4 linked regions of the Yarrowia lipolytica genome follow. The main gene of each other region encodes a partner of the protein of the gene in region 3 in a complex. Links are inferred from orthologs where the notes say so. Each region holds a gene or a part of one and is shown on either strand. Other genes may lie near its edges. The genes, in order: YALI1_E12067g, YALI1_D27297g, YALI1_E36866g and YALI1_B08627g.

Region 1 (2,424 bases), about 2.5 Mb from region 3:
CTTTCAATGTAATGCGATCGCAACTGACCGTTTTACCTCGCTTCCCAACTCCCCCTGTTTGAACCTACCCTCGATATTCGTCAGACCTTCTTCTGACTCCCCTCCTCTCTCTCATTCCACCGGTGTCCCACATCCTCTCCAGATCCGCTCCAGATCCGCTCCAGATCCGCTCTAGCCCGCTCCAGATCCACTCGACACCACCGCTTAACCCTTTCACGCACCTCCATCACACTACTCGTCTTCAGCCACCTCAACTCAACTAAACATCCATTATCTATGTACAAGATTCCTGATTGGTCCGAATCTGCTTCTCGTCGGATCAACCATCCCTCACAGTCACACTCCGTTCGCGTTTGTGTCTGTCTCTTTTGGTCTGTCTCTTTTTGTCCGTGTGATAGTGTGATTGTGTTGTGTCTGATCTGAGCCCTTTTGTGTCTGTGTCTGCACCGTTTGCTTCCACCACAATGCAACAACACAAATCAATGCTTCTCACTCTCGGACACCCCCCAGACCACCTACTGCTTCTTGTCGACTCCCTTCCAGTCCTCAGGAAGCACGCCAGCCAGCATCAGGATCCGGGTGGCAGTGTCCGACGGCTGGGCACCGGTTCCAATCCAGTACTTTGCTCGATCAAAGTCCAACTCGACGTCCTTCACCGGCAGCACGCCTCTCTTGAGCTCCTCGTGCGACCGGGGGGCAGGAATGGGGTTGTATGTGCCAATCACCTCGATGGGCAAACCGTCTCGTCGCTGGCCGGCCTTGGCCACCACAATGTTGTACAGGGGCGAGTGTCGTCGGCCAAATCGCGCCAGTCGAATTCTGATTCCTCCCTTCATGATGAGATGATAAGTGTCGGTGGGTTTTTTCACGGTGCGTCTGGAGACACAATTTTACATGCCATTTTGCATCATGTCAGGGTAAGGGCTTCTTAAGGTTTGCTGAGTAAGCAAATATTTGGTCCGCGGTTCGATTTTCGACTGGGGCAGATTTCTTGTTTAATTTTTGATCTGGAGTTGATTTCGAGATTGCAGGCGGCGGCTATATTGTCTGGTCACGTGATTGCATTGCATTGGCACGTGCTGGATCGTCGACGAGTTTGGTGGGCTTTGTTCCGTCCATCTTCAGTTTGGGCTTGGGAGCCACAACGATCTTCAACGGTGATCGTGAGACATGGCCGGGTAGGGGAGGAGGGTTGTGGGTGGTTGGAGAGCAGGTTGGAGGGTGTCAGGGGTGTCACGGGGGTTTTTTGGCGGTTTGGGGTGGTAGAAAACAGGTTATGGGGGGTTTGGGGTGGTTTTGGTTGATTTTGGGCCGATTGCAGATATATTTCCGGGCCTCAGCTGTTTTCTACCTTTCTTAGATCGCTCTCGAATTGGCTCTTTCTTCAGGACGTTTGGTTTCACATTCAGAAGGGATATTTGCTCATTGTGGCTGTGAAGTTGTCTTGATAGAGATGCTGATCGGAGCATATTTGAGTGAAAAGAGAGAATCGGGTTGATTGATGGAAGACGGTGACGTGTATTTTGATTTGGGGTTGGTTGTTGATGTTTTTGTTGGTTTTTTTCCCTCTTTTGGAATTCTTTGGAATTCTTTGGAATTCTTTGGATTTCTTTGGATTTCTTTGGATTTATCGAATTATTTGGATTATCCTTGATTCCATTAAATCAAAAAAAATCAAAAAAATCAAAATAATCAAAAATAATCCCGAAAATTACATAAATGATCACACAATGTCAGGAAATCAACAGAAACCTAGCCGGATCCGCTCCCGAACACGTGCGACGCCCTCTCCAGCCGCGCAGAAGATCTCAACGGGCTAATTCCCGCTACAAGAACGATATTAACGCATATAAAGCCGGCCGGCGTGGACCTCGGGATTGTCCTGTAGCGATCTGCACCGAAGATCTTCTAGAAGGTGGGCCGGGTCATGTGACCGTTGGCGATGGTGGCAAGCGTCCGCACGGTTAGACCATGGTCAGAGTGGAGGCATTACATGTCTGTGATGGCACTCCATGTCTGTGATGGCAATTACATGTTGCTGTTGATGGCACTACAATGTCTTGTGGATGGCATTTACATGTCTGCCTGTGATGGCAACTACATGTCTGGTGTGTTGGCATTACATGGCTTATGTCATGGTATACATTTCTGGTGTGATGTGATGAGGCTGGCCGTAACCTCCCTATCCGGTACGTTTTGAATCGCTCTGTGCGTTGCTCTGATCATTAGACATTAGGTGCATTACGGCGATCATTCGACGGCGGTTAAAGCGGCTATCTGAAGGTTATTAAAAAGATTAAAAATTAGAAAAAATTAGAAAAAATTAGAAAAAATTAAAAAAAAACCGTGTGGAAATTGGAATGCAAAATAAATCACTGGTCTCATTATTTATCATTCAGATTCTGGCGAGTACAAATTCCGGTA
Region 2 (2,975 bases), on a different chromosome or scaffold from region 3:
GGCCTTGCTGTAAGTCAAGCGTTGCATCGGGTGTGGCATTTTCGAGAGTAGCGAGAAATTGATACTGTTCGAGGGACTTTTTGGAGGGATTCGTTCGAGAAACCTGTTCGAGGGACCTTGACGAGGGACCTGTTGGAGGAATAGTGCAACATATTGACGCTCGTCAGTCATGTCTTACTATCACCCTAACAGTCTCTCTGTTTGACTATCTCTGTCATCGAGTGATGAAACTTGCAGTTCCTAATCCATGGACCCAGACTCCGAGTACCTGTCTACAGTCCATGTCGTGAGAATATAACAATATACGAGTTTGTGGGTATAGCTCCGCGAAGAACGAGTGCTTGATACTGGATGCACGTACTATTACATACAGACGGTTCTTTTCAAAGATGCAGAATGTTAGCTGAGTATCGATAAACCCCTTTCCAATCCGATAATGTAGTATTCGACCGTCTACTGTATTTGTCCATCTACACCGCTCAGGTTCGACTAAAATTGATATGTACATGATATTTACCACGAGGCCTTTCGGACACCGGGCAGCTCTCCGCTGAGGGCCTTGTTTCGGAATGCGGTCTGGGTTAGCTTTGAAAGGACAGTAGAACAGGAGAGAAGGGAGTAAGGGGAGTAAGGAGTGAGAATAGCGTAGAGAGGTTGAGAGAAGCAAAACACAATGCAGCCAGTAAGTCGATAAGTCGGTAAAACCGTCTGTAAGGCAGTTGGTAAGACAGTGTCCAATCCAATAACTCGTGGAATAAGTCCAGAAAAAATACCGATCAAATCACAACGCATCAAACAGCAGCAATCAGCATAAAAAGACGACAGACGAAACCAACATGATGGTCTATTGCTGCACTTATGGTCTACTGCTGCACTTATGGTCTCTCTGCTGCACTTCCTACCGTTCGATGTGCACTGTCACTCATTCCAATCGCCGACATCCCGGTCATGGGCTATCTCATTCAAGATGGTGCGGTTCATTTCCCATCCCCGTTCGCGGGGCTCATTCTCCCCAACTGTAGTCATTCCCACTCCTCATTCTTCACTCAGACCTTTGGTCTTCGCTTCGGTTGTACTCACTCGACACAGCTTGAACTCCTTGATAATACCCTTGGATCTTCCGGTCTCGACACATCGGGGCTTTGCCGCGTGGATGTTAGAAAAGACGGGCATGGAGGTGAGCTGGAGATGGGCCTGGATCCGCTGCTTCATGGGCAGAGTGGTGTTCTGCGAAATCGACTTGAGGGCCCGTCGGTTAATCTCCTGCTGGGCAGACACGTGCCGGATGGCGTTATCCTTGAGCACCTTGGCGTCGATGTAGCACGACGGCGTCTTGAACTTGGGCAGTCGCATTTTGGTTGTGCGGTGTGTGAAGCGAGTGAATTTGAAATTTGAAATTTGATATGCAAACTTTCTCGCCTAGTGGGGAGTTGCTGACTACGCCAACGATCGGTTGTATAAAAACGTAAAAATATCAGAAAAGCCATACTACTGCAATGTTACCAACTCCAGCCATATTTTGTATTTGTATATATATATATGTAGATTTTTCTCACCATAGAAACGCTCTTCATATCCGTCATGATTCCTGTTGGGAGACGGTGATGTCGACTTACAGGACACATCTTACCCTGACTAAGCTGACGAACTGTAATAAGTATATATTTATTTAGTTATTTTATAAGAGCTAATTCGAATATTGTAAGGATAGTAAAGTGTCGTCTCACAAAAATATATATAAAGACGTTAGAAATTATTCGTGAACAAAAATACCCTGTCAGGTGACATTATTAGTCAGTGTAACCATTATCACAGGTTACGACCTTTTATAGCGGGGAATAAGACCCTCTTCGTAACTACAACTACGGGTGCTCGTACGTATTGTAGAGCAAACAACACTCTGAATAAATTGAAACAACGACTGAATTGTCCAGTTTTCATTACCCCACTCAAAGGAAGTCACACGACTTCCAATCATACCCCAGATCGGAGTTTGAGACACATTTTCGGAGCAAAATGCAATAAAGATTTTGTCTCAAGAGGACGATTCAAGTCGGGGAAAATCGGGGAGAATCGGGTAAAATCAGGGAAAATCGGGGAAAAAGGCAATAAACAAACCAGACCTACATAATCGGACTATTTGATGTCAATTATCCACTCCAAACCCATCTCAACACGTGGAAATACCTCAAATTCCTGCAAGTACAGCACATACAGTAGTCCACTTGCGTCTCGGTGCATGCATAGATGTGCCCGGTTTAGGAGCAAGTTTTGATTCGACAAGGTATACAGAAGCTTACGTCAGCAGGTAGTCGTAAGCGGGCCCCTCTTGTTATTGTCACGTGACCTGCCGGGGGGCCGCAGCTTGATAATGGTGAATCCTTTGTCTCTTGTTTGCTTCTTTTGAAATTAGCCATTTATTTCAGACCAATTTCGGGCTTGGAGGATTATTAGGTTACATTTTCGAGAGTTTAAAGAGACGGTGGGGAGTGTCGGAAACGAGGTTTGAAGAGTATTGATTGGCGAAATGTGGGATTATTGGGCTATTCTCAGGTCAGAGTATATTTATTTCCAGTTTCGGCATTTAAATAGCAATTTTTTCCTCATTTTTCCTCATTTTTCCTCAATTTCTCCGCCGTCATTTCCGTCCCACTTTTTCGATTCTACTTTATTGTAATTGTACTTTTAATTTATTTACCTTCAGGGATGGTGCATTCCGTTTGCAGTAGATGTTCGGAATTTTTGACGGTGGCTGATTACAAGGGATTAGGTGGAATGGCTACATGGGACATTACATTGCGAGGAGGCTGATTCTAGCGACAGTAGCCGGTTGCAACTTGCGTGAAGATGCTCCTCTTCAACACAATGCCAGAGTCTGATGGTGCTCGAGTACATACTCGTAATGTTGCAATGTAGATGCGTAATTACGTCTCTACGAACCGTTCAAGAGGAATGCTTGTAGCGTTCAAGAGGAG
Region 3 (2,907 bases):
AGGCCCCCGCTGCCACCATGTTTGTACCGCAACGCCGAAGGCGATCAGCCACAGATTCCGTCCGCAGCGAACGACGCAAACGTAGAGTTGAGGACGACTCTGAGGTGGCGGAAACACAGGCAGCTGTAGGAACAGCAACAGGGGCTACGGCAACAACGACGAATACGGAAACGTCGAGCTCCCCACCTGGTGGAACTCCCCAGGCTGCTGCATCTACTTTAGGAGAGGCTTCCATCGATGCCTCAGAAACACAACCCTTGCTGGAGAACATTCTGGAGGAACCCGAGCCTGCATCCACACGGAATTCGGGTGTGCCGACGGGCGGAATTCCAGGCATGGACATTCCAGGTATGTCGAATGAACGGCAGCCACGTAATCAGTCGGTCATGTTGTCTCGATTGTTGTTTCTGGCCTCTGCCATGACCGCATCTTCGCTTGTGGGCACCGAGTTTGGCTTCCAGAACGGCGGAGGTACCGGATCATCCTCAGACGACTTTGACCGGTTCCTCTCTGGACTTTCGCGAGGTCTGCTCTCACCTGAGATCACTGCTCGTGAACCCTCTGGGGCGGAAGGTGTTCGACCCCTCAACTACTTTCGAATGTTTAGATTCCCTCCGACTGAAGGATCCACGTTTGTTCCTGTGCTTGTGGTCGGAATTAGATCTTCGGAAGATAACGGACAGGGACCCAATGCGGAGATCACCACTGATTCCATGCCGTTTTTCGAAGCAGCCACCTCCAGACCCATTCGTCTGAGTGAACCCACCGACACAGTAGAGTATAACCCTCTTCGCTCGCGCTACGAGCGTGGTAGATCTATCTTGGATCAATTCATGAGCGACTTTGGCCCATCATTCAACAACCCAGATAGACAGGGTAGCACAGACTCGTTGACGGAAATGCCCGACTCGGCATCCACTTACCATACCCCTCTGGCGAGCACGGAACAAGTCGACGATGCCGGTTCTGCATCTGCTTCCGCCATTTCTCCTGCTGTGGCTCCTCATCCTCTCATCCCTGCCACTTCTCCGGCTTCACAGACTGCCCCACCTCTGCCTAGCCTCCCTTCACTGCCTCCTCCGACTGGTGACAACGCCAATGAACCTCGGAATACTCGAGAGTCGCTACGAGAAGCCATCCCCGAGCGCCCCCTGAGACAGTCATGGATCGTCTATGTCTTTGGAGGCACGTACCCTGAAGACCATCCCATTCTCAATGCGGCTTCTCTGTTCACAGATGAACCTACCATGGAGGATCTGTCCCTGTTGGAAAGGCATCTGAGCCCCATGAAGAACCATCTGGCTACCCAGGAGGACGTGGAGCAGGCTGGAGGATTGTCGACGGTGAAAGAGTTCATCGAGGGCGAAAAATGCCCTATTTGCATGACGGATTACGAAAAGGGCGACGTGTGTCGGCAGCTCAATAAGTGCCATCACGAGTTCCACAAGGACTGTGTGGATCATTGGCTCCTGACTGGATGCAACTCGTGTCCCATGTGTCGAGGCGAGGGAGTTGCCAGGGCTTAAGTAGGGGTAGCATTTAGACATTACTTAATGTAACGAATTATGAGTGAGTCAAACAATAGTATTTGGTCGTATTGCAGAACTGGTAAAATTTAGTTGAGTTTAGTTGAGTTTAGTTGAGTTTAGTTGGAATTATCTAGAAGTATTTAAGTATAGGGATTGACGTGAAGATAACAGGACCTGACATTGAAGAAATGAGCAATTAAAAATTATAACAAGTTTGTTGTATGTCTGAATCATACATTATCAAGTATTTTTCATACTCATTTTTATATCAGATCATCTCATACTGGACAGCTTTTCCTACCACTGATCACACAGTACACTATCGAAATAAAGTTTTGGGTATGAGTTGCAAATTTCAACCTCCAACTTTCATCTCACCACACATCACCAGCACGACATGCCTCTTTTGCACGCCTCCAACCTCTGTGCGCACCTGCAGAACGTTGCACGAGTGGGCCGACCCCTCACATCCATTCCTCACAACAAGCTCAACCTGCAAATTGCCCTGGGTCTCTACCGTGAGGGTTTCCTTTCCGGCGTGCAGCGAGGAGACATTTACGGCCCTGATGCTGTCTACACAGAAACAACCCCCCAGAACGTGGCATCGCGACGGCTGTGGATCGAGCTCAAGTATCGACAGAACCAGCCCGTTCTCAACAGCCTGAAGCTGGTCTCCAAGCCTAGTAGACGAATGGTGCTGACCACCGAGGAGCTGCGACAGCTACAGCTTGGACGAAAGGTCAAGTTCGTCAACCCTCCCAAGATTGGTGAGGTCATTCTTATCAAGACTCCCGGAAAGGACGGAAATGTCATCGACCTCAACGAGGCCTGCCGACGATTCCTCGGCGGGGAGGTCATCCTTCGAGCCTCTTAAGCCCAATGAAAATGTACATAGTAAATGATTGGTTCTAGGTGTGTGTGCATTAAAGCGCATCGGTTTAGGTCTGTGCGAGTAGTCTTGGTATGAGTAGTACCTCTGTCGTTGGATCCCGTAGATGTCGTAGATTGTTGGATGTTCAGGATACTGGGCGGTTAGCGGTATGGCACAATACCTGCCATAGAAGCTTCATAATTACGTGAAGCGTGATCCAGCATCAGCTAAGATAAGGCAAGGTCAACTATGTCTATACATTTCCCCAGGCGCTCCTATTACACGCCATGGTCTTACTGTACATGCCGTCGTGTAATGTCTTATTTGTTGTCATATAAAAATTCATGTAAATATAAGTTGTGGGTATGGTGGATACTTCATAGGCACGATCAACGCATCTCGTCATGTTCCCTACAAAGTAACAACGCTGCCAATACCCTGGCTTCGCCATTGTCGCAGATCAACCTGCCATCCGGTCCACTTGCCAATAGCCTGTCGGGCGTTAGA
Region 4 (3,412 bases), on a different chromosome or scaffold from region 3:
GTTGTATGCTGTTGTAATGGCTTAGCCGAAAGCTGCGTTGTCTTGTGGGGTGGGTGGATCAAAGGTCGTTTTAGTCTGACGTTACGACGGAGCTTAATTTTTTCAGAGCCGCACAAAAAAAAAAAAAAAAAAAAAAAAAGCAAAAAACAGCAAAAAAAAAGCAAGGCGATGACAAGAATCGTGGAAAAACACAAACTGTGGTTGGACTAGTAGAGAAAAGCGAGGCAGGTGGTTTCAAAAACACGTCGTATGATTTTTTATTGGTGTTACACCCTTGTTTGTTAGTTGCGACAAACTTATGTTTAATTACTTGACATTTGGAGATTTAGTACTTGAGTCTAGTTAACATTTTAGTTGGGAGTCTACAGTAGTTTACACTTTTGTTGGATTGACATACGACAAACCTGTAACTTGACATCGCCTCGTAGACGACTATCTGACGGTGCCACCAGTGTGGAACTTTGTCGCTTGCGTTCAAACATTTCATTTTTTAACCTCGGTCAGACTATATACATTACCAAAACTTGGATAGGAATCCCATGATGCCCTTGGCCTCGGCTCCAGGGGCAGCCTTGTACTCGTTGGCCAGTGAGCCGAGAGCTTCGGAAACGGAGCCAAAGTGTCGTCGGGGCACTCGGTTGAACCGTCGGGCGTTCTTTCCGTTGGTTCGAGTCTTCTGGCCCTTGACGGGCATACCCATGACGTGTCGTCGACCGACGTACGAGCCGGTCTTTCGCTTTCGCTCAATGTCGGCGTTGATCTTCTTGGCCAGGTCGGACTCGATGGTCACATTGGTTGACAGCTCCTTGACAATTGCCATGATGTCGCCCTGGGTGAGCTCGCCCATTCGCATGCCAGGATACAGGCCAATCTTGGCACATAGCCGCTTGGCCTGGAACGGACCCACGCCGAACACTTGCTGAGACAGTCCGTACTGAGTTAGTATGTCACGAGGCAGGGGAGAATAGAGCAAAACTGAAGAAAGCAGGTGGAATCCGCCACTCGGGAAGGATGGTGGGTGTCGACATGTAAGGTGTAAGATCTGATGCTTTTGGTTGGAAAAATCAGTGTTCATCGGTCTTAACCTGCGCTGAATACCAGATCTTAGATGTAGATAGGCCGTCTATCCACTCTTTTTCGTCCATGTACGTATCCTGGGTACACGTTATTTGTTGGTTGATGGTATCACTCTCTTTTGGGCCAAAAGTCTCGAAAACAAGACTAAACGACAGTTTGAGTCTCGGAACACCTTGTAAACCGTCCTCAATTGTCAATACTGCCGTTTGCACAAGCCCGTGTCACGTACATGTCGGATGTGTGACGTTCATATCATCACACCAGTTCTTCTCTCTCACCTACTTGCGAAAGCTGAAAGTCGGTAAATCACTTGTCGCCGCCGAAACCCCATCATTAGTCACTCTCCCGTCCTTCTCCCATCCGCCTAAGCTCTTATCAGCTCAACATGTCCACATGACAAAATCTCACAGTTTGATCCATCGCGTTCTCGGTCATTTGTGGCTCCATCTTTTCCGAACAAGTCATCACCCGCTCCATGTCACCCGTGAAATACTCACAGAAACCTTCCAGGTGTTCTGGAACCGCTTTCCCATAATATGAACCACCATTTTTGCTGTATGTGTGTTTGGTGATGTGTGTGAAATTTGCGCTTAGTCAGGACCTCCCACAAGAACAAACCCTATCCCAGACTTTTGATATAGTACAGGTTCTGCATCCGCCCTAACCCTACCCTAACCCTGAGATGTAGGAAGTGGGGAGGGAAATACCGCCGTTTGAACGCGGTTTTTGTGTTCATCAGAACGCTCAACACACGTGCTCTCTGGTCACTCTGCCGGGAAGCGGTATTGCGGTTTTTAAAAAACAGCACTCTCATTGGCCAACAACGATAAGGTTGCACATATCGAAATAAGGTTTTATGCTAACTCCGTGATGACTAAGCTCGTTAGCGCCACGGGGGCGGATAATGCCTGGTCCCTAGTCTAGTGATATCGACCTGCGACCGAGTTATCAAACATTCTGAAGGCTCTTTGTGTGCCGGTTTTGTGACTCCGTTTAATTTTCGTTAAAGTTCGCTCACGTGACTCGCCACTGCAGCAACCCTACATATTCGATCCCGCACACATGTACTATCCGCCATACACAACCATGAAGAAGGAGGACTATTTGCCCAGTGAGTATTGATGGAGAGCCGGGTTAGGGAATTGAGGCGAGGGGAGGGTGTTTGAGGGGTTAGGGTGACAAGCGATTTGGAACGACAACTGAGACGACAGCTGAAACGACAGCTGAGATGAGTCCTGAGATACCCATGTTTGCGCCGATTGGTGGGTGAAAGTGATGGAGTGGAGCGGTTGGTTGGACTTGTCTATGACGTGTTGGTTCCAAATTTTGAGTGGTCAATTTAGTTGTTTTCAAGGATATTCTCTGAGGCAGTGGAGGCGGCGTGGCGGAGGTTCATATAGTATTCGGTGTTGATTCAATCAGTGTTGACTTTACATTGGTGCTGGTTGAATCGGCGCTGCCTACAGTGGTCCTCTACAAACCATGGCCAAAGACGCAACTGAGACCGTCGATACGTTACTGCACTTTCTACATCTCATTGATACCAGTTTTTAGAACTCCTTACCTGCTTGCTCTACTCCGTTGGATCTACCTCCAACAACCCTGTCACATGACACCTACCCCCAACTCCCCGGACTGCAGCCACTTCCGTTCTAACACAGACCTCGTCGATATCGAGTCTCCGCTCTCGGACGAAGAGCTCTACGTTCTTTCTCAACAGTACAACAACGAGGGCGACTTTGTCTCGGTGCAGACCCGCTTCAACTATGCCTGGGGTCTGATCAAGTCTCGAAAGGTCGAGGACCAGCAGCTGGGAGTGCAGATCCTGGCCCAGGTGTACAAGGACACGCCCTCTCGACGTCGAGAGTGCCTCTACTACCTTGCCATCGGCTCCTACAAGCTTGGCGAATACACAGATGCTCGGAAATACTGCGACCTGTTGCTGCAGATCGAGCCCGATGACCCCCAGAGCGCCAAGCTGCGTCAGATCATCGAGGACAAGCTGGCCAAGGAGGGCATGATTGGAATTGCTATTGTGGGAGGAGTCATTGCGGTGGGAGCTGCTGTTCTGGGCGCCGTGTTGAGCCAGAAAAAACGGTGAGATGGACCGTGAGTGTGACAAATCATTTTTTTCACAGAAAGTGGGTCACATGTTACGCTCACGTAAAGCACTGATGATCACAATGCTCCGTGCTAAAATATGTACAGAACGCTACAGCCCACTCACGTGATGGTAATATATGAGTTATAGATAGACCAGCTACTTGTAGCCATCGTTGAGTGGAAGGGACTTGAAGAGGTGAACGTGCAAGTCTACGAGGCAGTGCCGGAGCAA

Evidence for each region.
Region 1: YALI1_E36866g (region 3) and YALI1_E12067g share a complex: the UniProt entries of both Schizosaccharomyces pombe proteins name them as parts of the mitochondrial small ribosomal subunit. The link is inferred for Yarrowia lipolytica from reciprocal best matches to the Schizosaccharomyces pombe genes mrps8 and mrps16.
Region 2: YALI1_E36866g (region 3) and YALI1_D27297g share a complex: the UniProt entries of both Schizosaccharomyces pombe proteins name them as parts of the mitochondrial small ribosomal subunit. The link is inferred for Yarrowia lipolytica from reciprocal best matches to the Schizosaccharomyces pombe genes mrps8 and mrp2.
Region 4: YALI1_E36866g (region 3) and YALI1_B08627g share a complex: the UniProt entries of both Schizosaccharomyces pombe proteins name them as parts of the mitochondrial small ribosomal subunit. The link is inferred for Yarrowia lipolytica from reciprocal best matches to the Schizosaccharomyces pombe genes mrps8 and sws2.

Annotation. Positions count from the first base shown.
Region 1 is NC_090774.1:1,205,132-1,207,555, reverse strand, and holds YALI1_E12067g (mitochondrial 37S ribosomal protein bS16m), read right to left. Parts: upstream 837-2,424; coding exon 516-836; downstream 1-515. UniProt on the Schizosaccharomyces pombe protein: Component of the mitochondrial ribosome (mitoribosome), a dedicated translation machinery responsible for the synthesis of mitochondrial genome-encoded proteins, including at least some of the essential transmembrane subunits of the mitochondrial respiratory chain.
Region 2 is NC_090773.1:2,728,049-2,731,023, reverse strand, and holds YALI1_D27297g (mitochondrial 37S ribosomal protein uS14m), read right to left. Parts: upstream 1,354-2,975; coding exon 1,081-1,353; intron 577-1,080; coding exon 514-576; downstream 1-513. Other genes in the region: YALI1_D27324g (uncharacterized protein), read left to right, coding at 1-13. UniProt on the Schizosaccharomyces pombe protein: Component of the mitochondrial ribosome (mitoribosome), a dedicated translation machinery responsible for the synthesis of mitochondrial genome-encoded proteins, including at least some of the essential transmembrane subunits of the mitochondrial respiratory chain.
Region 3 is NC_090774.1:3,685,680-3,688,586, reverse strand, and holds YALI1_E36866g (mitochondrial 37S ribosomal protein MRPS8), read left to right. Parts: upstream 1-1,926; coding exon 1,927-2,403; downstream 2,404-2,907. Other genes in the region: YALI1_E36887g (uncharacterized protein), read left to right, coding at 1-1,526; YALI1_E36847g (uncharacterized protein), read right to left, coding at 2,812-2,907. UniProt on the Schizosaccharomyces pombe protein: Component of the mitochondrial ribosome (mitoribosome), a dedicated translation machinery responsible for the synthesis of mitochondrial genome-encoded proteins, including at least some of the essential transmembrane subunits of the mitochondrial respiratory chain.
Region 4 is NC_090771.1:860,928-864,339, reverse strand, and holds YALI1_B08627g (mitochondrial 37S ribosomal protein uS13m), read right to left. Parts: upstream 1,626-3,412; coding exon 1,575-1,625; intron 935-1,574; coding exon 515-934; downstream 1-514. Other genes in the region: YALI1_B08616g (uncharacterized protein), read left to right, coding at 2,687-3,178. UniProt on the Schizosaccharomyces pombe protein: Component of the mitochondrial ribosome (mitoribosome), a dedicated translation machinery responsible for the synthesis of mitochondrial genome-encoded proteins, including at least some of the essential transmembrane subunits of the mitochondrial respiratory chain.